2 linked regions of the Daphnia pulex genome follow. The protein of the gene in region 1 interacts with the protein of each later gene in a pairwise test. Links are inferred from orthologs where the notes say so. Each region holds a gene or a part of one and is shown on either strand. Other genes may lie near its edges.

Region 1 (11,521 bases):
TTTTGATCCTGCTCCAGAACCATATTTAACTGGGATTCCTAGACAGTAACAAAGGAGTTATTTTGATAGACTTTTTAATTGTGGGAAGAAGGGGAATATGATTACCTGCACCCAATGCTCTCTGAAGAAGAGCAAATGCAACCATGGCTTTCGTGTCAGCCAGAGAAGCTCCGGGAGCAGCTACAGCCACATATGCTAAAGAACTGCTCGTATCCACACGTACTTCTCCTCCGTGTACTTTCGAAGGAGCCCCCGAGCAAGACTGACCAGCTTTAAGAGCCAAACTTTGGGCGTATGCGACCAAGCGATCGTGAGGAATACCAACTCCAACAACTGCAGCATTGTCTGCACGCAAATTGGCAGCCACAAAGCTTTGCAGCACTTCTGTTGTATGTTTCCCAACCAAATGTGAGGGGCAGAAAAGACTGTTGGCCAGTCCTGTACGGAAAGCTACCTTGTGAAGGAGTTCAATAACTTGTGTCTAAGAATTAAAATATTTGGTTTAACATTCTGTATGATGGTGAAGTATAAATGTGCAATACCTCAGGCTGAACTGCAGCCAAATCAAGCTTAATCTTGTACAGGTTATCAGACAGCTCCCAAGGTTTGAATACTTGTTGAGTGGCTGCATCAGCCAGTTTAGGCAGAACTCCATCACTGTGCAATGATAAAAAATTATTCATTACATAAATCTCAGCAAAATAGACTTGTAAAAACTTGCATTTGTTTGCGAGATGCATCTACGGAGTAGAGAACATGTTCACGACCAGAAGTGCAGGTCAAAGCAGCTCCAGCCTGATTGATTACACGTGTAAGGGAAAACTGGGTTGATTGTTTAGTACTTAGGCTGGATGTCATTCGCAAAAGATGAATGATTCCTTCTTTTCCTGATGGTTCATTCCGTGATCCAGCTCTAAAAAAGAAATTTTTTTATCACTTTAACAAGCACACAAATTCTATTTCTTACTTGAAAGCGATTCCAACACGAGAAAGGGGGGCGTTAGTTTCAATCGAAGTAACAACAATCCCATTACTCAGAGTGGTAGTTTTCACGGGTTCCCGAGGAACGGGAGAAAATTCCGTAGCGGCCGGTTTAGCAGCGGCTTGTGCAGCGAAGCCACGCTATTAAAAAGAAGTTATTATCCAATTGATCATTTCACTGAGGAAATTGCTTAAAAGTTGAATGACTTACAGTGGCTTTGACCGTTTGGGTACTTAGAAATTTCGATGCCATTTCTTCGATTGGTATACCCCAAACCAGCTGATTGTTTAGACCTGAGAAGGAATAATGGCGGATTTTCTACTTTTTATCACCTAGCGGACAAGTCGGTTCAGCAAACCGAAATGAAGTTTTTCTCACCAGGAGTTTCGACAAATATGTCCTAAAGCTTAATATTCCTTTCGCCAGATGGCGAGTTGAATTGCGAAATGCGTTTCGGCAACCACATCGTCTGTCAAGAAGAAAATCGTGTCTGTTTGTGTCTACTGTCTACCAATTTCGTTTCTTCTTATTGACTTGTTTACAAAATTCATCATCCGTTTTTCTGATTCAACTAGTCCATGTAAAAATTTATTCATTTTATGAAGTAGATCAATACTATTATTAAACATAGTGCAATCTAGTCCTAATATATTCTTGTTAGTTGTTTATTGATCTGTCATCTGGATTTTATTCACCTGCTTGATCTAATATGGCAAACTATTGATTTTGAGTATTTGAGTCATAGCTGAATTGCACTTTTCCTTCATGTATAGTCATAATAATCTATGCTTGTTAAGCTATTGGTATTAAATCATCGTTAATGTGTAAAAACTGCACAAACCTTGTTTCTATTTATAATCAGAAAAGGGGTGTATTTCCAAACCAACTGCTCAAGTGGTATACACACTGGTTGGAAAAATAGGAATGGATAGTTTGCATTATTATTTAATGTAAATCTTTACCAATAATATATAAACTTTTTATTCATGTATTACTCAGTCAGTCAGGTTGTTCATGAGAAACAATCATTATGGCAGCAGAAATCAAGCCAGTTCCTATTCTTGCAACATCAGCTGCAGCAACTAGATCGAACCAGAAGAAACCTATTCTATTGCACAAGATTGAGGGCTATGAAGAAACTGTGAATCAAGCTGTTATACTACCAGGCGAGGATGGTGTTGTGGCTGTCTGTGATGACAGGTTTTATACTATTTCATTTTGTTTATAATTTATGTACATAAAGAAATAAGTTGTCTCATAGGTCTGTAAGAGTCTGGTTGAAACGCGATTCCGGCCAGTTTTGGCCCAGCATTTGCCATTACATGCCATCAGGAGCAACATCTGTCTGCTTTACCAAAAAAGTCTGGAGAGTATTTGTTGGTCAAGAAAACGGCACAGTTTCGGTAATATTTTAAAATTATTTCTTGAATATTGAAGTTCCGCATATCTAAAGTCTCATCTATTTGGTTGTTATTGTACAGGAATTTGTACTGGCCGAGGATTATAACTCGCTTACACACAAGCGGGACTATCTATCACATCACGCCCGTGTGACCCAAGTGCACCACGCTCCGACTCCTTCGTGGATACTTAGTGTTGGTCGTGATAAATGGTTCCAATACTATTGCGCAGTATCAGGCAGACGCCTTGGTGGTCACATTTGTCCAGCGTGGGCATACTGTTTGGAGTAAATCTAAAGACTAAAGAAGATTTGTTCTGAAATTCATATATTGATTTTGTCGATGGTTTTCTGTTGTAATAGATTCGATTTCGCATCCCGCCATGTATTTGTAGGCGACGCTTCTGGTCAGATTACCATGTTAAAGTTGGATCCCCAACCGGACTTGGCCACTAGTAATACCACAACTGAACAGCAGGCTGTTGGAGTTCAACAAATCACCGTCTTTAAAGGACATTCTGGTCCAGTTCGTTCTTTAGCCTGGGATGCTGGTCATCAGTTTTTGTTTTCTGGAAGCGAGGATAAAGGCATCATCGCTTGGGACATTGGAGGCCAGCAAGGGACGGCATATGAACTTCAAGGGCACAAGTATAAAGAATAATTTCCGTTTTGTGACTGACATTGTTTTGCTTTATTTTAATATTTTTTATATTTAGGAATAAAGTCATGGCTGTATGTTTTTCTCCCACTGGCCGTAAACTTGTTTCCGGAGGAGAAGACTCCATGTTGTGGATATGGAACATGAAAGCTAAACGAATAGAGGTGGAATAACGCCTTAATGATTTAAAATTTCCAATACGGTATCGGGTTATTAAATTCGATACTTTATTTAGACTTCTGAATGGACCGAGTCCAGTACTTGCCAAAGGTGCAGTCGTCCATTCTTTTGGAATTTGAGGGGGATGTTCGATCAGCGTCAACTAGGTAGGATCTCAATGCCTGAGTTAACGTAGAAGTTAAATTATTTCAATTGCATGACTATACGTAGGTCTTCGACAACATCATTGTCGGCAATGTGGGAGGGCCGTATGTGATGACTGCTCACCACATCGCTCCGTTTTACCTGCAATCGGTTATGAATATGAGGTACGAGTTTGTGTCGAATGCAACAAGAGTCTCACCGATGCAAATCGAGTATCGTTAGCCGTTTGTCAAGAGGCTAAACACTCAATTCTCTGGCTTAATTTGGACGAAGAGCGCGGTCGACTTCTTACTCTTGGCCATGATCGTGTAAGTTTTCATCCATTATACTTTTCTTTTAGTGATGGGGAAGGATTTTATATTGGAACTTTGTCATGTAGATTATGAAGATCTGGGATGTTTCTTCTCTCCTGAAGAACGACGCTTGAGTTTAATATCCTGATATATATCATTTGGCTGTGATCGTTTAAATTTCATCGTCATAAACCCTTCCCGCCTGTTCTCACAGCTATTTGTAATTTTCATTCCAATGCGGTCTGATATTGTATTCTCTAACCGTGCCCTCCCTCTCCCCTCCCCCCCCCCCTGCACCTGTTATATTTTGGTGAGATTTGTGGATAGTTAATATTCGTTTCGATGAATATCTTTGTTTCTTTGTTTGCTATATGTTCTAATCTGCAGCTTGCAGTAATTTTCTTTGGCAAAATCGGTCATCCTCCCGTTGTGCTCCTCCTCAACATGTGCGCCTTAAGCCCTTCATGTATATCCAATTTGAACTCGAATAAAATTCATTAATTAAGATAAATTAATTAATATTTTCGAGTGCCAAATTGATATAAATGTTAATTGTCATCGAGTAAACTTTAAACGTGAAAATAATTCTTATACTGAACAATTTTATCGAAAATTGTAAAATATCTGGTTATGTGGATGTATTTGAATGCGTAAAAAATATCATAGCCAATCAATAGCAAATTTTGATTTTTAGTTCTGAGACATTTAGTTTGGAAATGTGATTAAAAAATAGTGTGATAAAGCAATTCTTGGAGAAGGTTGGAGGAAGAGAAAGAGGTAGACATACAGAATCCTGTGAAGGGGGTGGGAAATAGTTTCCTCGTTCGCGCTGATTGGCGCAGATGTTGACTGGCTCAGTCCCTAGAGGGTCGGAAACGTGGGAAAGAAGGGTAGTGGTAACCTGTGAGACACAGAATTCAAAACTCTGAAACAGCATTCGAAGGTTTAAAACGAAAGGAGCAAGTCGTTAGGTGAAATTGTCCAACATTTTCTGTTTGTCACCAAGTGTTATTATTTAGTAAGCGTCTACTGTTACATCTTACATACACGACTTGTATTCTTAAATCAGCAAAAATGATTCGACATCAGTATCTTGCGGGTAAAAGTTTTACCTACTTTTTTCTTTTCCGAAATGCGAATTTTTGTTTTCGATCTCTGAATTCTTTTAACTATTAATTACTAGTGAATTTTAGTTAATATCTATTTTGATTTTGGTTCTATTTATTAGGCAGAGCATTAACAAAGAAGTCTGTAGCAACAACTATCCAGTCTATTGAGGAGGATGAAGGATATGGCACTTCTTCTCCCACCATAGACAGCCCACAGTTGAATAACAACATTTTCACTTTCGTAGAGCCTTCTGTTGGTCCTACTGCTCCACCTGTTAGTAAGGTTTCGGAAGATGAATGGTCTTCCCTGGAAAAGGAGTTAAATCAAGTTCTGAATATGCAGCCGTTGACTGAGTCTCGTGTCAAACCTCCAAGTGTATTTAAACTTGGATCTACCAAAATGTCAATCTACTCCACCACTGCTGCGAACAAGCAATCTCGAGTTAATTGTCAATTTTGCGCCAAAAACGGAGAAATTCGCAGCGTGGTATGTTCAAATTTCGTAGACCATTTCTGAAATTGGAAATCTAACTAAAATGTCTTCATTCTTCAAGGTTGAGTCCCACACCTTACGCCATCCAATCACCCGTGCTATTATTTGTCCAGTATTGCGAAAGTACGTTTGTGAGATGTGCGGGGCAACAGGCGACAACGCTCACACCAAGTTTTATTGTAATACATTTTAATTTTTAGTTAATGATTCACGACAGTTTGTCTGACTTAATTCATCTAATTGTCTTAGGTCCGGAAAATCGCAGCCGGAAGATAGCGCCCATGGCTATCCTGCTGAAAACTACCCGCAACAACGCAACCGGTAAACGGACTCATATGTGACCCCGAATACAATTCCACCACTCCGGGAATTTAACTTATTGTTTCTTTGGCACTGAAATTAAGCGATATGCATTTTGTGATCGTATCTAACATCCCCCACATGAAATCTGGAAAAGTTGTAATGAGTTTAATCGTGATTTAATTTCTAATTGTCAATTTTTATGTGATCGAAATATGGATCTGAAAATAAAGAAAAATAGCTGAATTTTGAGGCAAGAGATCGAAAAAGGAAATAATTAATTAGTACTTAAATAGATTACAATTAGATGCAATGCAATCTTGTCCTCTCTTCGGTCTACTACACACTTGGTAACACCGAATCTAATTGAATGACAGGATCGAGTATTATGCATATAGACATGGCCTATCTGCTGACAATGACTGGAATCGTTCGGGAATTGTCTGAACATGGAAAACAAGAGACGAAGGATGAACCTCGCAGCTATATGTGTGTGCTGTTTGTTGTGTTGTTATTTTCTCTCCTGTGTGTATATACCTGCTATATACGTTTGTTCTCCATAACCTTGATGGAGAGTCACGCAGTCACGGGCTTTTGCCATGGTTTATTGCTGTGTCTCTCTCTCTCTCTGCTCCAACATTATCTTGTACACTAGGCCTATTTTACTTTCCCTCTTTTTTTTCACTTGCGTTTGTGTTCGCTGTTGCGTCATCATTGCATCACGTCGAGCGCATCCTTTCCTCCTTTTTTCTTCTTCTTCTTCTTGGTGGTGTATGACTAGATTGTGTTAGACAAAGACCTCATCTCTTTTTCAATTGATGGTGTAGACTCTCTCTCTCTATATATAGCTAACTTGATGATAACGGGAGACACACAACTCCGATTATTCTCACTCTCCTTTCTAATTGTATATAATATATGTACCTTGGATCTATACCACAGCATAGTTGGAGTATTGCATCACACTTAGATGGGTCATGGTTCGTGTAGGAAGATTGCAATAACGCAGGCTTAGGCTAATATACTATATATAAGTACTCAAGCAGTTAATTTCCCAAATTATATTTCACAGATTTTAAATGTACGCTGACGAATAAAACCTATTACACATACAATTTTCACGAATACGCCTGTTATATTCGGATGGAAATTTTTAAAAAAAAAGTTTAATTTCTCCAGGAGAACTGAATTGAATTTGAACTTTTTGACCCGATTTGCAGCATCGGGAAAAAAAATGTAAAATGACGGTGAGACATTTAAATAAGAGAAATCCGAGCACAGCAATATAGGTCCTTGAAATCTTTTCCCCCAAAAAGTAGAAAGAATATAATTACAGCGTCGGCTTCATCGGCTTGATGTTTACGGTAGACCAAAGATCGTTATAAAACACCGGTTTATATGTAGCTTTTATTCATTCGCATTATAAATATGCATAGCCCTACGGCGTAATAAAGTTGGGGCGAGGTGCTGGTATCATCCGACTTCAGTAATTGCGACCATCTAGTAAAATTCTGAATCGTTCTGAATTAGCGCATAAATACATTTTACGTGAATTAACCTTCTACTGACATTGCCATTTGAAAAGTTCGCTGCATTTTATAAAGGGGTGATTCCATATGAAAACGACCAAAACCTGTAGCGACCATCTCACGGATTTGATCGCCACTATAGGCTTTTTCGATTCATATGAATAAAAAAAAAATTTCTTCGAAGGATTTTGAAAAAAAATGGCGCGTTCGCCTGGCGCGAACGTTCGATTTTTTAAAAAGTCCGCTTGACCATATAATCATTACATTTTTTTTAGCATATTGGAATGCGATTATTGGCTCATTTATCTATCAGAACATGTTCTCATAAGGATAAACTATTTTTTAAGACCAAGCGCGACAAAATCAAAGGTTGCACCACCTGGTGGCGCGAAATTTAAAAAGTTAAAAAATGAGCAAATTTGATGTGATAAAAGGTTAAGTTAAAACTGACGTAGGTTCAAAAAAATAAGTGAAAATGTAAACGAGAACTTTGTCAATGTGTGGTCTAAATTTGAAACTCGTAGCTTAAGTTGAAAGTATTATTTCTTAATTTTAAAAGTACAACAAAATTTTTTTTTCTCAAAATTGACGTTTTTCAACTTAAAAAACGGGAATGACAGGCCTTTTAAATAATTTAAGCTGGAAAAATAATACTTACTTACTGTGATTGACTCTTTTATTTCGCTTTTATAGCTTTATAAGTACACAAGCAATGTGCATTCAGGGGTTGGGGCTTAAGCTCATAGTTCACCCTAATCACCCAAATGTCCACAAGGCAGCGCTGATCAGCAGGTCCGACTACTGGCTTCAGCCGAGATAGCCAATTCCAACCATAAGTTCCCCCACCATACTAATACACCATGCCTAGACTGGCAACGTTCTCTGGAAACCCCTTCTCAAAAATTGGCAGCCCTGCTTGGAACATATTCCCGTAAACATTCAGGCAGAATGTAACGGCAGTCACACTCAGTAAGTGATAGCTCCGCAACTTATCTTAACTTATCGGAATCACCTAGATTGCTGGCAATAGTTGAAACTTGTCGAACGTTAAAAATACAATTAAGAACACTATCTGTATAAACATGCACAACACATAATAACACAACCTTCGAACACTACGGAACAAAAACCAAACCCGATATATATTTCTTAATTGCAAGCAAATTTTGAGTCTTTCCAATGCAACACTGGCATAGTGCGATAGGGTCATATTAGCATTTCTGAAATTGAATTGTTTAGATTAGTTTCCATCCAAGTTAACATAAAATACATGCATCAACTTTACATGGTTTCAGTGAATATCATTTCACGTAGTTCATCTTCAGCAAAGACAAAATCTGGGTACCCATGCCCAATGATCCAGTCCTCCACACCATGAAGGGGGGCGACCAATTTCCCAAATGGGTAACATTGAGATGACAAGTTAGTCGCAGCATTCTGAACTTCTTCGATTAATCTTTGGCTGAACACCCAGTCCTTCCAGACAACTTTCTTCTTTTCAGGAGACTGGTTGTGCATTTGAATCCATCTGTGTAAGATTAGAATAAGACAAACTTGAATACTTTTCCAATAAAATTAAGCAGTATAAGGATAAGGATAAGGATAAGGACTAAAACAACCTTTCCGAATTTATTGATTAAGATTCAAGATATATCGAATTGTGTGGAAATTTTCCTTTTGCCCTCCCAGCCTTTATTTTAGGGAAGAGCTCATTGAAGAAGGAAATTAGGGATTTTTTGTACCTCTTTCTTCAGTTTCACTCTGCTAACGTGAACATTTTCCATTTTTACTTGGGACTAGTAACGATTTTTTTTGTCTTGAAAAATTGGGTGTTTGGGCAACAGTCATGTTTGATCAGGGTCCTCGCTATCTGATTCCAGGTTTGTATCTGAAAGGGATTTTTCAAGTTCTTTGATTTGATGTCATCTTTTTTTTCCTTTTCCTTCGGGTAAGAGATAGGGCGTTAGAACTAATAAAAAAATTAGCTTACGTTTTAAATTTGACGAATAAAACTAGGAGGTTGCGCTACTGCTGTTGCATCTGAATCTTATTCATCCGACTCAAGGAATGAGTCGGAGAATGCATGCTCTAGTTCGTCTACTTCTTCCTCATCTTCCTGGTTCTCCATAACTTTCTTCCTTTCCTCGACAGCTTTCAGTTTGTCCTTTTCCTTTTTTCTTCGATGGCTTTCTGTTTTTCTTTCTGTTTTTCTTGTTCTAGCCATTCTTCCAACATTTTTACCAATTCTTTAAATGGGTTCCTTGTTTCAGACTTTTTTCCTTTTTTCTTCTGGAATATTTTTTTTTGCTTTTGGGATTTTTTAGGCCCTATTGCCTGCAATTTCTTTTTCCAGCTTCTCAATTTGTTGTCTTCTTTTTATTTAGTTTTCCTTGAAACCGACGTAAAACTTGAAGTATTTTCCTCAGAAATGGTCAGTGGTCAGAAGTTGTCGACAAAAATTTTCTTAGCTATGTTCATATATTCATACTTAGCATTTCTCTACATTATTTCTAGTTTACTTTGTAATATTCAACTTTAACACTTTTCATTTTTAGATAATTCTATTACAAATTCAATCTGCCCAAATAAAACACTGTATTTGTAACACGAGTAAGATATACAGCAATCAAAGTTTACATTTGGTTTGTCGACTAATCAATCATGAAATTTCCGTGTCATTGTTTGTTACAAGGTTTGGATAACACAACCAACTTATTGGTGAAAACTAGAGGGTTGCAACTGTAAAGGGCGATTTTTAAAAAAATTTAGAAAATAGGGCCCTTTTTTTCGTAGCGCCATTACGAATGCACGGCGAACGATAAAATTTTCGCTCGGCGAAATTGGTACAGGTGATCCCATGTACAGGAGTAAAGGGATTGAAAATAACAAAAAGCCGATCCCCACATCCTGTTCATAATTTAGTTTCAACCTTACACTAAAAAACAAATGTTTTTTTTATATTAAATAAAAACGAGTGACACGTAGCGCCATAAGACGCCGTGTTAAATGCGGCCGAAATTGGTACAGTGTACAACTTTTCGTTGGTAGGTACTGTACATCATGAAGAAACATTAGGATGAAGAAAACCGAGTGAACCTTTACATTGGAGCGTAAGGTATCTTTTTCAAGGAGAGGGAGATAAAAATCTTTTACGCGTGGCAGGATTTGCATGGCCTCCCTCAGCTACCTCCTTCCATCCATCAGACTCATCGGTGGAGCTTAATCCATTTTCTTATGGTTTTGCTAACAAATTGGGTGTTCCAAAATTTTAATTTGGCTGCTCCTATTAACACGGTTGAAATAAAACGTGAATTATTTATAGGCCGGGTTTGCCAAAGTGAAGTTTGTTGATGCTGAAGAGGTACAAATCCTCCACGTGCCAGCAGTAGAAACTACCCAGCTGACCGAGGAAGATTTGAGGAACTTTAATTCCAGGTAAAATTTCATCTGGGCGATGCAGAAATGGCCTAAAAGTCTCGCGAAGATCGGGTAGGTACCTATTCAAAATGAAAAATGGATTAGGCATTCCCATTATGAATATCTGTTGTTTTTTAAAACCACATACTGTTGCTGTTAACGGGGAAGAGGGAAAACTGAATATCAAACGTATTGCGGATGCTGTTCCCTACCTTCCGCAACGTTCTTGAAATGGTGCAGCATGGCAAGCCAAATGGGCAACTTTTGCTTTGTTACGCTGCTGTAGAGAGCTCCGCGTTTTGCTTCGTTGGCTTTAAGGGAGAAATCGACCAAATTCTCAAGAGTGACATCTGTTAAGAATTGGAAATGAGTTTGAAGAATGGATTGAGTATTAGATTTATTTCAAATTGATCAAACTCATCTTCAACTCGTCAACACCAAACCGGAGTTTTCTGATATTAAAAAAAAAACTTTGTTTAAAGTGGGCCTCTTAATTCATAGAAATGGCTACTCACCGATCAAAGACAGCCTGAAGAACTCTGACTTGTCATCGGAGCTGAGTCACATCTCCTCCCAGAAACAACGGGTGTCGCAATGTCGCCAACGGTGCCCCATCGGGAAACAATGACGGCAAGGCAAGGACTTGAGGTTGGGACACTCTCGATGCAAATGTCCAACTTCACCGCATGTGTAGCATGTACGTTCGTTTCCTGGAAATAAGGAACACTTTACTACGTGATAAAACTACGTACTAAACAGAGTGGAATAAAGTTTTTTATGTTTTTGCCTAAAACTTTACCTAGTAGCGTTAAATATTCAACACAAAATGGAGATTATTACAGACATGAGCAATGAATCCTAAATAAAATTTAAATTTACCTAGATTTCCAGCCATTTTTCCTATTCTCTATGTATGTCGCTATGCGTACCGAACCGGAACGGCGGTAGCTTAGCAAACAAATTTTAAAAATTGAACTGAAGTATAGAAAAGAAAACATTCAAAAACTTGTCCACATG
Region 2 (6,443 bases), on another chromosome or scaffold:
TTTTGGTTTTTATATTTTTTTCTGAACAGGTTTCGTTTTCTTTATAGGTTTCGTATCTTTTAATTGTAGATTGTCTCACTAGATGGCCATCCAAGCGAAAACAACAAGAATTTTTTTTTTAAATGATGTTACGTGACGTGTAAATGCGAACAGAACTACTTCGGTTCTGAAATGATCATTGGCAATTCAAATTCTTTGCGTCGTTGCTAGTTCAAATTTTAATTTGACAGAATAGGTCGTCATAAAATAGTAGAAATGGAATTTGATTCAAGAGTGCTACATTTAATTACTTTGTCAATTTTTTTAATGTTTCAGTCGAAATGTCATTCCCACTCAACTGGTCTGACTGATGTGAGATCTTCCTCTCTGTTAAATATACCCAGGAATCTTTCTTCACTAAAAACATGAACAGTTAACAGTACATACAGAACTGGAAGACGGGCATACCAGCAGTAGCATAGTAGCGCATAGTAGCAGTACGGAGAGTTTGGGTATGTTCTACTTCTAAACATAGGCTTTGCAACAACACAATTTATATTACGTATTGCAACGTAAGTTACATTTTCATAAGAGAAGATCTTTCTTTTCAACGCATGTTATAATAGGAAAATTTAATTAATTTAATCCCCTTTCCTCTTAAACTTTTATAAATATCGTCGTATAGTATTTTGTTAATTTAAATTTCATAAAAAGAAATACGTACACAAAAAATTTGTCTGAAAAAAGAACCCCGAAAACAGCCAAAGCAAAAGTGCAAACGATTCAAAATAATAAAAAAAAATACTTCCGGTTTCTAATTGGACTTTATCTTACCGTACCTCATTTTCCACTATCGTAGTCATTTCCCGATATTCGCTGCAACTTCGCAAGTACTACAGTATCTTTGATCTATGGAAAGCCAAATTAGAAGCTTTTTATTTCGAAAAATAAATAGGAGCGATATCTAGAAGTAGCAAAAATGCTGTTAATTTTGACCCGCATTCGTTTAAATTTAGCCGTCCGTCCTAGTTTATGAAAAAATGTAATACATCAATGAATAATAGAGAAAAACTATTAAGTACGTATACGAAGAAGATTGAGGAACACTGACGAGCTTAGTTGTTTCCGGGAACGAAACTCTTTAATTAAAAATGGTTACATTATGTGCTTTACTACTAGTCTATCAGAAAGTTAAACAATCCCCGTTTCCTTGTTCGAAAGCGGACTTATTCTCCTTATCCTCACAGCAAACTAACTTTTGTCATTCATTTTTTTATGAAAGAAGAATAATAAATACATGATATTTTATTCTACGTGCATGTTCGATATCAAAATCCAAAGTTTGAGACAGTGACAAACTGAATAAAAGGGAACTTGTGTGGATTTTGTTCATTTGACAGTCCGAACCTTACATTAAGAAAAAAGAGCTTCATATTTCTTTTATATAACGCCAGATAATGTTGAAAGAAATTTATGAAATGCGTGACTGTCCAAGTATCACACACTCGTTTCACGGAAGATCAGAACTTTTATTGAAAGCGCAACCAATAAATTATTTTCAAACTAGAGTAACGCTCAAGCTCAACACATGAGTTTTTAACATAGAAAGATAGAAGTGGCCAAGTGGGTTCGTACTGTACGAACCCACATTTGGCCAGTTCGTACCAAAAAATATGTTTTAATTCGTTTTTTTTTAATTCAAATTAAGTATTGTAACTTGGATGCAAAGAGAAGTGCGCAACTATAGCGGGAAGTGTTTAAATTGAAATTGTGGTTGAATTTTTGTATTTAAATTTGAAGCACGGAAATGGAAAAAAATAAACATATTATTAGCGCCACCCTGGATTTCAGATGGGGAAGTGAACAGTAGTAGTGATGTGTTGATGAGCCATCAGATAGTCTTCTGCTCATCTAACGAAAACATTACACATTGAAGAAAATGGCTACGCCTTCAAAAGAAAATGGTGCATTTGAAGTGGCCCCATTAAGAAGTTCAGATGATTTTTTATTAGAATCAGCGAGATTTCAAGTGCCAAATTTCCGTGATATGGAAAAATGGGGGAAAAGAGTGTACAGCAACCTTATTTATTACCAATCAAACTACTTTCTACTTGCTCTAGCTCTCTTTGCTCTTGTTGGGTAACATTATTAAAATTTAAATGTTTAAATGTTATTAATAGTTAATATTCTTACAGGCTTATTCATCCCTTCAAGATGGTTTTGGGATTATTTGCTATTGGGTTGGCATGTGGACTCTTCGCTGCAGCTAGTAATGGTGGTCCTCAAGTTGCAAAATTCAAGCAGGAACACCCTGTAGTCAGCATAATTTCCATTCTTCTTGGAGCTTATTTGATTATTTATCTTCTTGAAGGAAATTTGGTATTTCTTTTGGGAATTTTGCTCCCATTTTCTGGTAAGTCTTCAGGCCTATTGACAATTATTAAAATCAATTCAAAATTATGCTAAAACTCTTTGTTTGTTAGCCACATTTATACATTCGTCTCTGCGCCTTCGTAGTCTACGTAATAAAGTGACCAACAAAATGGAGCAGATAGGACTGAAGAAGTCCACACCCATGGGGATGCTTCTGGATGCATTGGGTTTTGAAGCTGGAATTGTTGATTGACTGAATTCTATTGCAAGCAAACTTGGCATTCGCTAGTCACCACAAGTTAGAATCATGTGTGATATAATTTCAGTTCAACTTGTGTTGAGTAGCTATTAATCTGGGGTTGTGTTCCTTTCTAATAATAATGCTTAGCCAAAGTGAGCACTCTATGACAAACCAACAATCTGGAATGTCATGTGAATAGGCAGTCACAGAATTCATTCAAGTAATTACCAAATTGATAATTGATTTTAAAATATTTCTTCACTTCAACAACTACCGTACAATTTCTCGGAATAGTTGGTTATATTTGTCAAATAGGCTTCTTGGTTTCTTTTCTTTTTTTTTTTGAATCTCTTAAGCATTAATGTGGACATAAAAAATAAATATCACTTTAATTGGAATAAAAACACTGGTCTGCAACTTTGTTATTTTCCGATTCAAACTTTATTGCGCTTGCTTTGAAAATTGACATCAGGATTTATCGACTAATGGTAGTAGTTATAATATCACTCATAAAACCTCGAGGAAGTGCTCGCTTTAAAGTTCTTTGAAGTACTTCCGATTGTGCAGCGGTGCACAGAAAGGGCCTTCCGCATTCTCCAAAAGTACTCCATGTGGAGCACATAACCTTAGACAAAAAAAAATAAATAAATAATCTCACAAAATGTTTTATCACACAAGTCCTTGTACTACCATGGATCGTAAGTAGATTTTTGCCACTGAAACAGCTTTTCCTTCAGTTCGAAGAACTTCTCCTAAATCAAGTCAAAGATTTCAAAAGTCGATTGAATAGCGAGAGGCTCTTTTATTCCTCCGACTTTGCATGTATACCTCTTTTGTAACGTACCTTGTATTTCTTTTTGCGATGTACATTTACGCATTCTTTCGGGTCCGTTTTGAGATCAAACATTTCCCATTCCTCGCGAAAATAGTAATCTTTCAGCTCTTTGATCCAGCGTAGAGGGCGCCCATTCAGTGTTCGATTTAGCATGTCCTGAAAGAGTTTCTCGTTACTGAATAGTCAAATGTGGAAAAAGCTTTTTTGCACTACGCATCGACATGTGTAGTACCAGGAATGTTGGCGATAAGTAAAAATCCTGGTCGATGGGAAACGGAGTACCGGGCGCATTTAAATTGTGTATTAATTTGTAGCGCTCTTCTTGGATGATGGTTCTCATTGGGTAATTCATTGTTATCTCGTGCGTTACGTGACTGCCGTAGAATGTGTCACTTTTCATACCGTTTTCGCCACTCAAAAGTGGCAAAAGTGACTTTCCGGTGAGGCGGATCGGTTGATTTGGTTTCAGAATATGATATTTGGGATAATCGATTTCAAACCAGTCCAAAACGGTGGGTACTATATCCAGTAAATTGGCTTGGATGTCCGTCATTTCACCTCGTCTTGACTCGTCGTCTGGAGACTTGATGAACATTGGAACGGCCAATCCTAGAAAATGGAAATAGACGATATCCTGAAGTAAAATAAAATCCATTTGACTTGAATTTATATACCCGGTTCGTACATGTTAGTCCTGCCATTGGGAAATGAGATCCCGTTATCCGACGAAAAGATGATCAAAGTGTCGTCAGCCTTGCCGGCTTTTCGGAGCTCGTCAAGCACCAGGCCGACACCTGTAAATATTAATGTCATCTCATCGCTTCATTCATTTATACTACTCCATTCATTAAAACCTTGATCAAGTCTCGAAATTGTTGTGTACTGCGACGCTATGTCCTAATTATTTTGTAATAAAATCAATTTAGCCTACTATTGAAAGAAACTGAAGTCGATTAATTGAATTTCAGAATAATTAATCAACCTCTCGAGCCGCCGCAGTGTTAGGAACGAAATAAGGCAGTAAGACATCTTCCGGTTTGTATCGAATCGGCTTCCAGTCTGCAATGTGACCGTAGCCAGGCTCTCCATTGCCAAACTTGTCGCAGAAATGGCCGTAAAATGGATTCTTGTGATCACACCTGTGAGGATCGTGGAAGGCCACATAGAGGAGGAAAGGCCTGCGCAGTAGAAAATGGCGTTAATAAATTACCAGATAAAACTTGAAGACTTGTAATAGGATCAGTCAGTTTGAATCAGCCAATTAGAGCGAAGATTAAAACGAGAAGGGACAGATCGCGACTCACTGGGTCTCATTTTGCTGCTCGAGGAATTCCCTGACGAGCAACTTAATTCGGGTTATATTCCGGCCAACCTGCATGATGGAATTATTCTCTTCCGTCTGCTCGTAATCGAAAGTGTAGGCTGATCCGGGACCGACATGCTTCTTCCCTATAATGCCTGAATAATGTAGCGCAGCAGTTGAGTTGTCATGCCAAACCCATAAAAGAAGATAAGACTTTTATTTTTCTTTCTAGCGGAATCTTTTCTTTGAAAAATTATGTTGTGTAGTGCTATGCAGTGGTATTAGTTATATAGGATATAGATATATATACCAGTACGAACTCCGTTCTCCCGAAGGATTGTCGGAAGTGACCGAACATTCTCGAAAGAGTTGTAATGATGGACGTCGTGGTGCAGTCCGTATAATCCATTTTCATGACTCGGAAGTCCAGTCAACAAAGCAGCCCGACTGTTTCGCCCATTTTAGGTGTGTGTGTTGTTGTTGTGTACATGGGACGTGGTGGGGTATATATACGAACGTTATTTTTATATGGGCGAAGAAAAGTCAGAAAAGTACTTTTTATAGATAACACACAGCACTGACCTGGGAGAGCAACTACTCACCGAAGTCCGTGCTCGGGAGAACACCAAACTTTGGGCGGCCAGCGCATCCAAATGGGGCGTTTGGCACCGGTTATTTCCGTAAACGCCCATTTCAAATCCGCCATCATCAGCTTTTTGTTTTTTCCACCCCACATTTTTTTTTTCAATATGGCGGATACAACAGAGATTGAGTATTGCCAAAGAAACATAGTTACAAAGTCTCTTTTATTGTTATCAGTTACAACCCCACTCTTTATTTTCTACCCCCCCCCCCCCCAAAAAAAACTCGACGAACCAAGGACGTGTAACAAGAACAAAGTTTGTTTTAGCGCTATAGATAATAACGAACACTTTCCTTGGTTCCTTGCAACCCACCCCCCTTGAGAGATTATAGTTTGGAAGAAAACGACCATTTCTACCGAATAGAAATGCTCTATGCGAGAAACCAGCAAGTTGTTTTTATTGTAATTTTTACAAATATTGTGGGAAAAAGAATACACAAATTGTGCCAACACTTACCGATGATCAAAAGCACGTTACGGGCCTGCGATAAAGCAGCGGAGGCTCCAAGCTGACAGCTTAGCAGGGAAATAATTAGAAGTAACAACATCCAAGAAAAATATAAAAAACGATTAATTCCAGGCCTGCAGAGACTGCCATCCATCATCATCATAAGACGGGCGGTTGGGATCTAACGTGCCAGGGCGCCAGACTTTTTGCCAACTGGTTTGACACTAATTCTAGTCGTCGGAGTCTAGGCTACATTTTTGAAATAGGGGGAGCGCTTGTCGCCACATCAATCCCGCCGACCCAAAGTAGAAAACAACCGACAACTCAGCGTTTAAAGTGAATATTCCATCGTGGCCTTGTATTTGATCCTATTTGCTATCCTATCCTATTTGGGAAGTTTCAGCGATCAACACCAAGTGAAACTCATTCATTTCAATCACCCCGGTGATTTATTTATTGCACCCGGCGACAGTGCGACACGTTCGCCGTCGACGCCGGGCCACCGCCGGGCCGTCGTCCACACAAACCAGACACCCCTAAGTCGTATAAGTTTAGCTCTAACATTTTTTTTTCGTCTCCTTCGAGCAGCAGCTATAGTTAGCTATAGCCCAGTCGTCGCCA

The links. The genes of interacting proteins can lie anywhere in the genome.
Region 2: the proteins of WD repeat and FYVE domain-containing protein 2-like (region 1) and PRA1 family protein 3-like interact in a two-hybrid assay, tested with the Caenorhabditis elegans proteins (2 studies listed by BioGRID). The link is inferred for Daphnia pulex from reciprocal best matches to the Caenorhabditis elegans genes wdfy-2 and praf-3.

The regions. Positions count from the first base shown.
Region 1 is NC_060023.1:3,620,028-3,631,548, forward strand, and holds WD repeat and FYVE domain-containing protein 2-like, read left to right. Parts: upstream 1-1,388; 5' UTR 1,389-1,562; intron 1,563-1,981; 5' UTR 1,982-2,012; coding exon 2,013-2,182; intron 2,183-2,243; coding exon 2,244-2,385; intron 2,386-2,463; coding exon 2,464-2,669; intron 2,670-2,744; coding exon 2,745-3,029; intron 3,030-3,097; coding exon 3,098-3,203; intron 3,204-3,274; coding exon 3,275-3,365; intron 3,366-3,429; coding exon 3,430-3,671; intron 3,672-3,742; coding exon 3,743-3,790; 3' UTR 3,791-4,167; downstream 4,168-11,521. Other genes in the region: cytochrome b-c1 complex subunit 2, mitochondrial-like, read right to left, coding at 1-38, 106-481, 543-657, 722-913, 968-1,122, 1,193-1,234; nanos homolog 3-like, read left to right, coding at 4,731-4,755, 4,885-5,252, 5,320-5,437, 5,508-5,599. UniProt on the Caenorhabditis elegans protein: Plays a role in coelomocyte endocytosis.
Region 2 is NC_060026.1:3,444,805-3,451,247, forward strand, and holds PRA1 family protein 3-like, read left to right. Parts: upstream 1-1,821; 5' UTR 1,822-1,918; coding exon 1,919-2,118; intron 2,119-2,174; coding exon 2,175-2,392; intron 2,393-2,462; coding exon 2,463-2,605; 3' UTR 2,606-3,008; downstream 3,009-6,443. Other genes in the region: N-sulphoglucosamine sulphohydrolase-like, read right to left, coding at 3,128-3,218, 3,284-3,345, 3,438-3,584, 3,661-4,037, 4,103-4,222, 4,283-4,325, 4,411-4,606, 4,733-4,886 and 3 more.